Linked DNA regions of Nothobranchius furzeri. The protein of the gene in region 2 purifies or fractionates together with the protein of the main gene of each other region. This does not show direct contact. Links are inferred from orthologs where the notes say so. Each region holds a gene or a part of one and is shown on either strand. Other genes may lie near its edges.

Region 1 (4,094 bases), on a different chromosome or scaffold from region 2:
TTTGGCCTGTCATCCACACGAAAACTGATCTTTTTAAAAAAACTCCGGCCAAAGTGAAGATGTGCGTTTTCTCCGTGTTGGGTGTCTGCGTGTGGACGGACAAAACCGGAGTTTTAAGGTCCGCAACGTCACTTTCTGCGACAAAGCAATGCTGACATCACGTGTGCGACCTGTGTTTACACTAGCCGACAGCATGGATGCCCTCAGAGCTGCGCTCGCTTTATCAATTGTCCAAGCGCTTTCTGCTTGTTTGTTTTTGCAAGAGGAATTACTGCTCCTTGCGGAAGACCACAGACGAAGGACGAGGTTAAGAACGGGGAAAGTACTGCCGCCTACAGGTCTGGCATGTCCTTAACAACGTATTTATCCAGGTACGTGTGGACAGTTTGTTTTTAAAACGAGGTGGTGTGGATGCAAGTTTTTGGAGGGGCGGATATTCGTTTTTAAAAAACCCCGGCTACGTGTGGACTAGGCCACAGTCTCATGACAGAATAAAAAAAGGGAAAGGCCCCACATGACCAGACACAGACAGGTTGTAACCATCTAATGACTTTTGAGGTTGTTTTTCTTTAAAACAAATCAGCGCGGCGGCGGGGCCCGAGGAGCCGGGGAAGAAGCACTGGCCGAGCGAAGGTGCAGTGAGGAGGAGAGCCGTCCTGACAAATAAACGTGTGTGTGTGTGTGTGTGTGTGTGCACGCGCTGTTTACTTTCATAATGCAGTAAGTAAAATAAGACAAACCTCACATGTCTCGAGTCACAATGAATTTGCGCGATACTTCAAAGCCTTGTTTACCGCTGCTACCAGAAACATTGAATGGAAAGAGAGGAGGCGGCGGCCATGTTGTAGCTGCGGAGCGTCGAGGCAGTAAAACTGACAAATAGGGCTGGGCGGATCGAGCTAAGATATCGATAGTATCGATCTAACGTTGGTATTGAGTATTTACTAGATACCTGCGTGATGGTATCGATTCCGTTTCTTCTAGCCTGGCAAGCATTGATTTACTCACCGCTACAGATGTCGGTCAACGAGGCAGTCCACCAAACTCCGTCAAAGAAGATGCAAAACACATCCTTTTCCTAAATAAACGTTAGTACTTCTATCTGATCTTGACTCAAACAAAAGCTAAAAAGTCATAATAGTCCAAACTTGACGCCAAAGCCATTTCAAACGAGCGGCTGACCGCCGACTAGTCAGTAGTGCTGTACGATACTGCAAAATTTGGTATCGATCCGATACCAAGTAAATACAGGGGCTAGTATTGCCGCCCAATACCAATACTTTTTACTACTAATCTAGTACCATCTAGTTTTGTGGGAATTATTAAGATAAATAGGATCAATAAAATTTGAGTTTTCAGACAACATCCTGCCTAAATAATACATTTATTTAGTCTGGCTTGCCAGGCTAGTGCTGGCGCGCTGTTTTACTTTTTTTTTTAATGTAACGGCGGGCTGCCCCGTTGACTGACATCCGTGGCATTCCAATCAGTGTTTTACTGGTTTGTTGGGCCAATCACAGTGCTCTTTTAGCGAGGTGGGAGGGATGTCCCTGCAAACAAACATGGCTGCCGCTCGAAACTGTCCAAACATAGGTATCAGCCAGGTAAACTACAAATAAAGATGGCTGCTGTTCTGTAGTGGTCCAATCATGGCGCTATATAGATTTCATGGACCAATCGCAACACTAAGTAGGCAGGATGTTATTGGAAAACAAAAAAAAAAAAACGTAGATCCCACCCCATTATTTAGATCTGTCTATGGGTCGTGGCTCGCCAGGCTAGTGGGATTCCTGTTCTCATACTCTTTAGATTTGAGCTCCGGCAGGTCCAGGTGCCAGTGTTCATCACTGATGATCCTCTTCTCGTCTTCGTCCAGCTGCTTCTTTGTCTCAGCATCCAGTCCCCTCTGCATAAACTGAAACACAAAGCACACATTTACTCAATCTGGACCCAACCAAAACCACCGTTAGCCAGGTCCACAACAATGCTGCCAAGATCATCAGCTTCCTGGAAGATCCAGAACTTCTAAAGTTGACTTCCATCAGAAATCTTCTCTCTTCCCACAACTCCTGGTTCTCAGGCAGCAGCAAGTTTGGTTCCTTCCTAGAGGTTCTAACAGTAAAACAAGAGGCACAGCTTTCCCTTCCCAGGCTCCTCTCTGGCGGCCACCAGGTCTCCCAGAACCAGTCGGTCCATCCTGGACTTGATTCTGTAGGACGTTGCGTGGTGCTGCTCAGGATGGAGGACGTGTTGGGAGTGAAGATTCTAATCATTGCACCAGAAGCTCTGGCTTTTTGTGAGCTGTGGTTCGGATTTTTTTGGACTTTGGTAGAATCTTCTCTCAGGTTCGGTCCTGGTTCAGAGTGGTCCAGATGAAGGAGGCACATCCCGCTCCTCCACGGGTTCACAGAGATCAGATACATCTCTGAAACACGCCTAAATCCGCTTCGTCTCGTTGCTTTACCCCGAATTCAAGTTCAGTTTCAGGGTGATAAACGCTGCTTGGAGTCAGCATCTGGGAGGAAACTAGCGTCTTCTTATCACACATCAAACGTTCATTTCTGTTTAGTCAATGACGTTCGGCGCAGAGCTAGCAGCTAACGCTTACCTTCATCCGCAGCAGGTTTTTTGACAGTTTGAATGAATCTTCCGCCATATTGTGCCGATTAATTTATACTAATTTAAAGTAAATCCGAACTCATTCAAACGAACTCGTTTAGATCTAACAATCAGCACTTAGCATTAGCCACTGGGCTAAGCGCTCACCACAGTCTGAAACAATCGAACATTGATGCGCATGCATGGTCGATGTTAAGGATGATGAATCAAACACGAGCAGCTGTTCGAATTGGATCCTGGTCATCTAACCTTTTCTAGAAAGATAAAAGGACATGACCGTGAAAACACTCGAAGATGAATTTGTGTAAATTATTTCAGTTTATATGTTTGTTTGTTTAAACCGAAACACATTAGCCAACAATAATTTAAAGACCAATGTGGCTAGCTTGAAGCCCCTCCCATTCACCATGGTAACACATGCTGGAGACAAGCCCCCAAAATTCAGCGCACAGATTTCACTCACAAACGCAGAAAGGTTCACAAATGAGAAGCTTTTCGTAAATGCACGTTCAGCAATTCGGATGATCTGTGAGTTTATATTACAAGTGTTCTTACAAATAATATTTGTGAACCACAGAGTGTGAACTTCAGAATTAGCGTGTGCATTTGTGGAAAATGTTGCGTGACTTATTTTTTCACATTATATTTATGAGTCAAAGAGTGTGAATTTCCGAATGAGCTTGTGCATTTGTGTTCCTCCGAATTATATTTGTGAAACACAAGAGTGTGGCTTTCCGAATGAACGTGTGCATTTGTGGAAAACGTTGTGTGACTTAATTCTTATGTCACTGCTTCCACTCCAGTCGGGGTTCTTTTTCCCCCCCCCTCTCTCTCTCTCCTCTTCCTGAGGAGGATCCACTCCCTCTTTCCTATTCACTCTCTCTCTCTTTCTTTACATTTTTAATCACAATTGTCTATTTTTTGCTCATTTTAATTTAATCATTTTCTAAATTCTTTTTTCTATTTTACATGTTTTGTTTTTGTGAAGCGCCCTGTGATTTTTATCTTGAGAGGCGCTATAGAAAAGATCTTTTTTTCTCTCTCTCTCTCTTAATTCATGCACTTAAATATTAATGTTCTGATTTTATTGAAAAACTTGTTCTGTAATAGTTCCTTTACTATTGTGATCAAAAACATTTAATCTCAACTCTGAGGCTGCTCTGTAAATAGTTTTCAAATAAACAATACACATAGCAACTTCTGATCAAACTTAAAGAGCAAGTAACGTCTAAATTAACTTTTTTTTGCTGATGAACTGTATAAATGAGTGTCTAATAGTGTTTTAAATGTGTGTATTCATTATTTTAGCATTTTGGTGCATTTTCTTAAAAAATTAAAAATTCTGCCTAAATACCACAGTATAGCTCCACCTTCAGCTTAAAACATAGAATTTGACTCATTTTGAATAAATTTTAGCCAATGGCTAAAGAGTAAGATACTACGTAATCCAGTAGAGTACTACGTAGCAGCTCTGT
Region 2 (4,117 bases):
CTGTTTTGTTTCATCCGACATCACGAGTTGCCAGTTCCTGCAGGGGAGGAGTGTGTATTGTGACAGTGTTTTTTTTTCTCAAAACCCAGCTTACTAACAGATTTGTTATAACAGCTTTGATAGAATAACAGAAGGTGAGTAATGCAAGAGAACTAAGTTATTTTCTACAGGGCTGCCAACTTGTGATGGTTTCCATGCACGAGGAGGTGTGTGAAAGGGGTCAGACACGTGTCTCACGCTCAATGGGAAGCTAAGTCACACCCATCTATTTCCGACCATGGGTCCCCAACAGGGCTGGACTGGGACAAAAAATCAGCCAGTTCGTTTTGAGCCGAGACCGGCCCACCAGCTAGTGAAGTTAAAAAGCAATGACGCCTATTTTTTACACCACCTCTCTAACCCTGGGCCTCGATATTCCATATCCATCATGTTTTACTTGTTTCCCTGCTCCAGCACAAAAACTGAGCTTATTTTGCTGCTTAACCCTTTGGTGCATAACGGTCACTACAGTGGACAGTTACTCAAAATTGTTATTTATTTATTTTTGCTATTAAGCACAGCTGTTGAAGACTTTATTGCATATGAGCCCTTCCATTTGGACTTCAGTAAGTCAAGCCACCATATTTCATGTTCAGAATGCACATTGTCCACTGAGATGGACATGTAATAAAGTATTTGTAAATTAACAAAATGGTACAAAAAATATTTGTTGAAATTTGTTTCATTCACACCTAAAGATGAATGAAAAAAATAGTTTAAAAAATCATGGTTGAAGATTTCATAATTCATGCATCAGAGGGTTAATGCAACAAAACATCAACAGACCAAGACAATCTTCAGATATCTAACTGCTCGTTTGAGGTTGAGTAAAGAAAACAGTAAAGCAGAAAATAATCAGAAAACCGAGTTGCCATGCATGCACTGCTCACACACACACACACACACACACACACACACACACACACACACACACACACACACACACACACACACACACACACACACACACACGCACGCACGCACGCACGCACACACACACACACACACACCAACATCAAAACACATGACTTGTTTAACAGTTTAATTTTGTATTTTAAAAGAATGATCCAAACCATTCTAACTAAAAAGTTCAGTTTGAAGACATAAGAGAATCCACAATTTTGCTCTGGATTGTTCGGTTAGGAAAGAGGAGTTTGTAAGGAATATTTATTCACTGTCAATTGTTTAAACACTACAATATTGTTTGTTTAGCAAATTAATATATCGAGTTTTATTTAATCTTTATTAATTGTGACCGGTTATCAATTTGAAAGTTTTATTGACCTTACAACACCAACTCATTTTTGAAAAAGACGAATTTGTTGGCCAGTTTTTCGTTCATTTCCGAACTCCAGTCCAGTTGGTGGCGGTAATGCACACTTGTCGTTGGTAATCACAGTTTCGTCGCGGCCACCGTAGTTCACGTGGGTAATCAAAACATCATGGCGGCTGGTTTCAAGTAAGTCATTTTTAACATGTATTTTTCTTTATATTCAGACTTTGATTTTCATCAAATATATATCATCGATATATTTAATGTTCAGTGTTATATCTAAATTTAGTTTGCTTGTCAAAAAATACAGAAACAACATTTCTGTGACGTCAGTTGGGCTAGTGACGGGATAGTACACTTTATTTGTTAGATTTATCGGTCTGCTGTTTATTGCAGGATCGCACGTGTTTGTTACTAATTTGTCTTATTTAATTTCTTTAAACTTTCAGGACGGCGGAGCCTCTGGAGTATCACAGGAGCTTTTTGGTTCGTCAAATACATACAAACTATACCCAGTAGAAACCCATAAATGTTATTATTATTGTTATTAGTGTCATTGTAATTGCAAATGCTTCATTTGCAGAAAGAAAATTGTAGACCTGATGGGCGGGAGTTGTCTGAATTTAGAAGTACAACCTTAAACATTGGTAAGAAAATAAATTAAATGTTTCCTCCCTGTAATAAAACATAATTTTAGATATGATGTAAATAAAATAATATGTACTTCTAATACAAAATGAGTCGGCTCATATTTTTTCAACTCCAACATTTTCCAGTGCCTAAAGGGCTGATCACTGCCAGCTGTAACAGTTTTTACTTATTTTCTGTTCAGGGTCTATTTCCACTGCAGACGGCTCCGCTCTGGTAAAGCTGGGAAACACCACGATCATCTGTGGCATCAAAGCGGTACTGGTGCACAATGACTCAAACCGCTACTGCTAAGATTTCTTTAGGTGTTAAAGTCATGTGTTCATATGCAGGAGCTGACTAACCCTACTGTGGATGCACCTGGTAAAGGTTACATAGGTAAGTTCTGAACACATTTTACAGCCTCCTTGTTTCCATCAGGTTTTCATTGCTTAATTCTTTATCTCGTATTTTCTGTTTGATTCTGTATTTTATTATGACATCATCATCTGTCTATATATGTTTTAAAAAAGTGCCCAATGTAGACCTGCCACCCCTGTGTTCGTCCCGCTTCCGACCAGGCCCACCAGGGGAACAGGCCCAGGCTGCCAGCCAGTTCATCGCTGATATCATTGAGAGGTGTGTTAAGCCTTCAAACACCTTTAGTTTCCAGCTGTAGTGTTTCTGCCACTGCTTTGACTTAACCTTCATGTGTCGTGCAGCTCTGAGGTGATCAAGAAAGAAGACTTGTGCATTGGCCGAGGAAAGGTGATTTTAGACTCATGTGTGGACTTTATTTGTTGTAATATATTCAATCATAATTCTGCTAAATCTTGTTGCAGCTCTGCTGGGTCCTCTACTGTGACATCATGTGTCTCGACTATGACGGGAACATCCTAGATGCTTGTGTTGTCGCCCTTCTGGCTGCCCTGAAAACCAGTAAGTAGGGTTGAGACTTTACTGAAACGGTGCATGTAATAAATAAAATAAATCTATCTTTTAGTAATCTTTCCCTGCAGCACAACTCCCAGAAGTCACCATCAACAAAGAGACGTCCGCCCCGGAGGTGAATTTTGAAAAGAAACACAAACTTAACATTCACCGACATCCAGTCAGCGTCTCCTTTTGCATCTTTGATGAGTACGTTTGTTTGATTTCAATTCAATTTTTATTTTAGGTACAAGTGCCATTTTGTTCTTCTTTAAGCCTTTTTGGTTTTCCTGTGCAGCTCCATACTGATCGTAGACCCCACCGCCGAGGAGGAGAGCCTGTCGACGGCACGCCTCACTGTGGTGATGGATGAGGAAGATCAGCTGTGCTCCTTACATAAACCAGGTCAGAGATGGCACATCTGTGATCTTTAGATTTGTGGTGCTTCTGCCATGAAATAAAGCTTCAGATTATTTTGAGTATTTTGAGAAAACGGGGATAAAAGGCTCTGCAAACTTTGCCTCCAGGTGGAACGCCACTGTCGGGAGAGAAGCTGCAGGAGTGCATCAAAAGAGCAACGGCACGAAAGGGAGAGATCCACAAACTTATTGAGAAAGTCATAAAAAGCATGAAGACAGCTCAATAAATACACTCAGACAACATTTTTTATCTAAAAGTTGTATTTTCCACTGTCAATATATATTCTTTTTTAATAACAATAAAACTGCTGACAAAGACTTAAAAAAATTATCTTTTCAGTGTCCAGAAATGTCTCACGCACACTTAGCTGATGTCTTAATTCATGTAAGAATATGCTCATGGCTCCTTGTTAAAAGGTAACACCTTTTGAAAATCTGCTGTACAAACGCACGCCGTCTTGCATGATGACTCTGAGTCCTCGCGTGAGCCCTGCGCCGGAATACTCCCCAAGATCAGATTTGCATTTTCACGTCGTGGACACGTGGACGGCTTGGTGTTGCTAATCTGTGCTTAAAGGGCAGCCTCATGCGAAATTCTCTTTAAAATGTCCTCTCACTCCACAGGGCCTCGGCAGAGAAAAGTCTTCCGAAAGTAGAAATATGTAACCGTGGAAGCTCGTTACCTACAAGACCCGTCTTCTTCTTGATCATCTGAAAAAAAATATCACCAAGGCTCTTAGAGCTTCGGGCTTCCTGCTGTAGAAACCAGTTCCCCCACAGTGGACAAAGGTTTGGTTTTCAGAAAACATCTGAGAACCAAATCATAAAA

What was found.
Region 1: the proteins of exosc8 (region 2) and mphosph6 purify together in Homo sapiens (affinity purification with mass spectrometry; 4 studies listed by BioGRID and IntAct, counting the BioPlex papers as one, with this or other methods). This does not show direct contact. The link is inferred for Nothobranchius furzeri from reciprocal best matches to the Homo sapiens genes EXOSC8 and MPHOSPH6.

What each region holds. Positions count from the first base shown.
Region 1 is NC_091744.1:80,075,351-80,079,444, reverse strand, and holds the start of mphosph6 (M-phase phosphoprotein 6), read right to left. Parts: upstream 2,809-4,094; 5' UTR 2,657-2,808; coding exon 2,609-2,656; intron 1,916-2,608; coding exon 1,803-1,915; intron 1-1,802. UniProt on the Homo sapiens protein: RNA-binding protein that associates with the RNA exosome complex. Involved in the 3'-processing of the 7S pre-RNA to the mature 5.8S rRNA and play a role in recruiting the RNA exosome complex to pre-rRNA; this function may include C1D.
Region 2 is NC_091750.1:62,637,139-62,641,255, forward strand, and holds exosc8 (exosome complex component RRP43), read left to right. Parts: upstream 1-1,416; 5' UTR 1,417-1,481; coding exon 1,482-1,498; intron 1,499-1,761; coding exon 1,762-1,798; intron 1,799-1,895; coding exon 1,896-1,959; intron 1,960-2,144; coding exon 2,145-2,218; intron 2,219-2,292; coding exon 2,293-2,338; intron 2,339-2,472; coding exon 2,473-2,578; intron 2,579-2,661; coding exon 2,662-2,707; intron 2,708-2,781; coding exon 2,782-2,878; intron 2,879-2,958; coding exon 2,959-3,079; intron 3,080-3,167; coding exon 3,168-3,274; intron 3,275-3,396; coding exon 3,397-3,515; 3' UTR 3,516-3,616; downstream 3,617-4,117. UniProt on the Homo sapiens protein: Non-catalytic component of the RNA exosome complex which has 3'->5' exoribonuclease activity and participates in a multitude of cellular RNA processing and degradation events.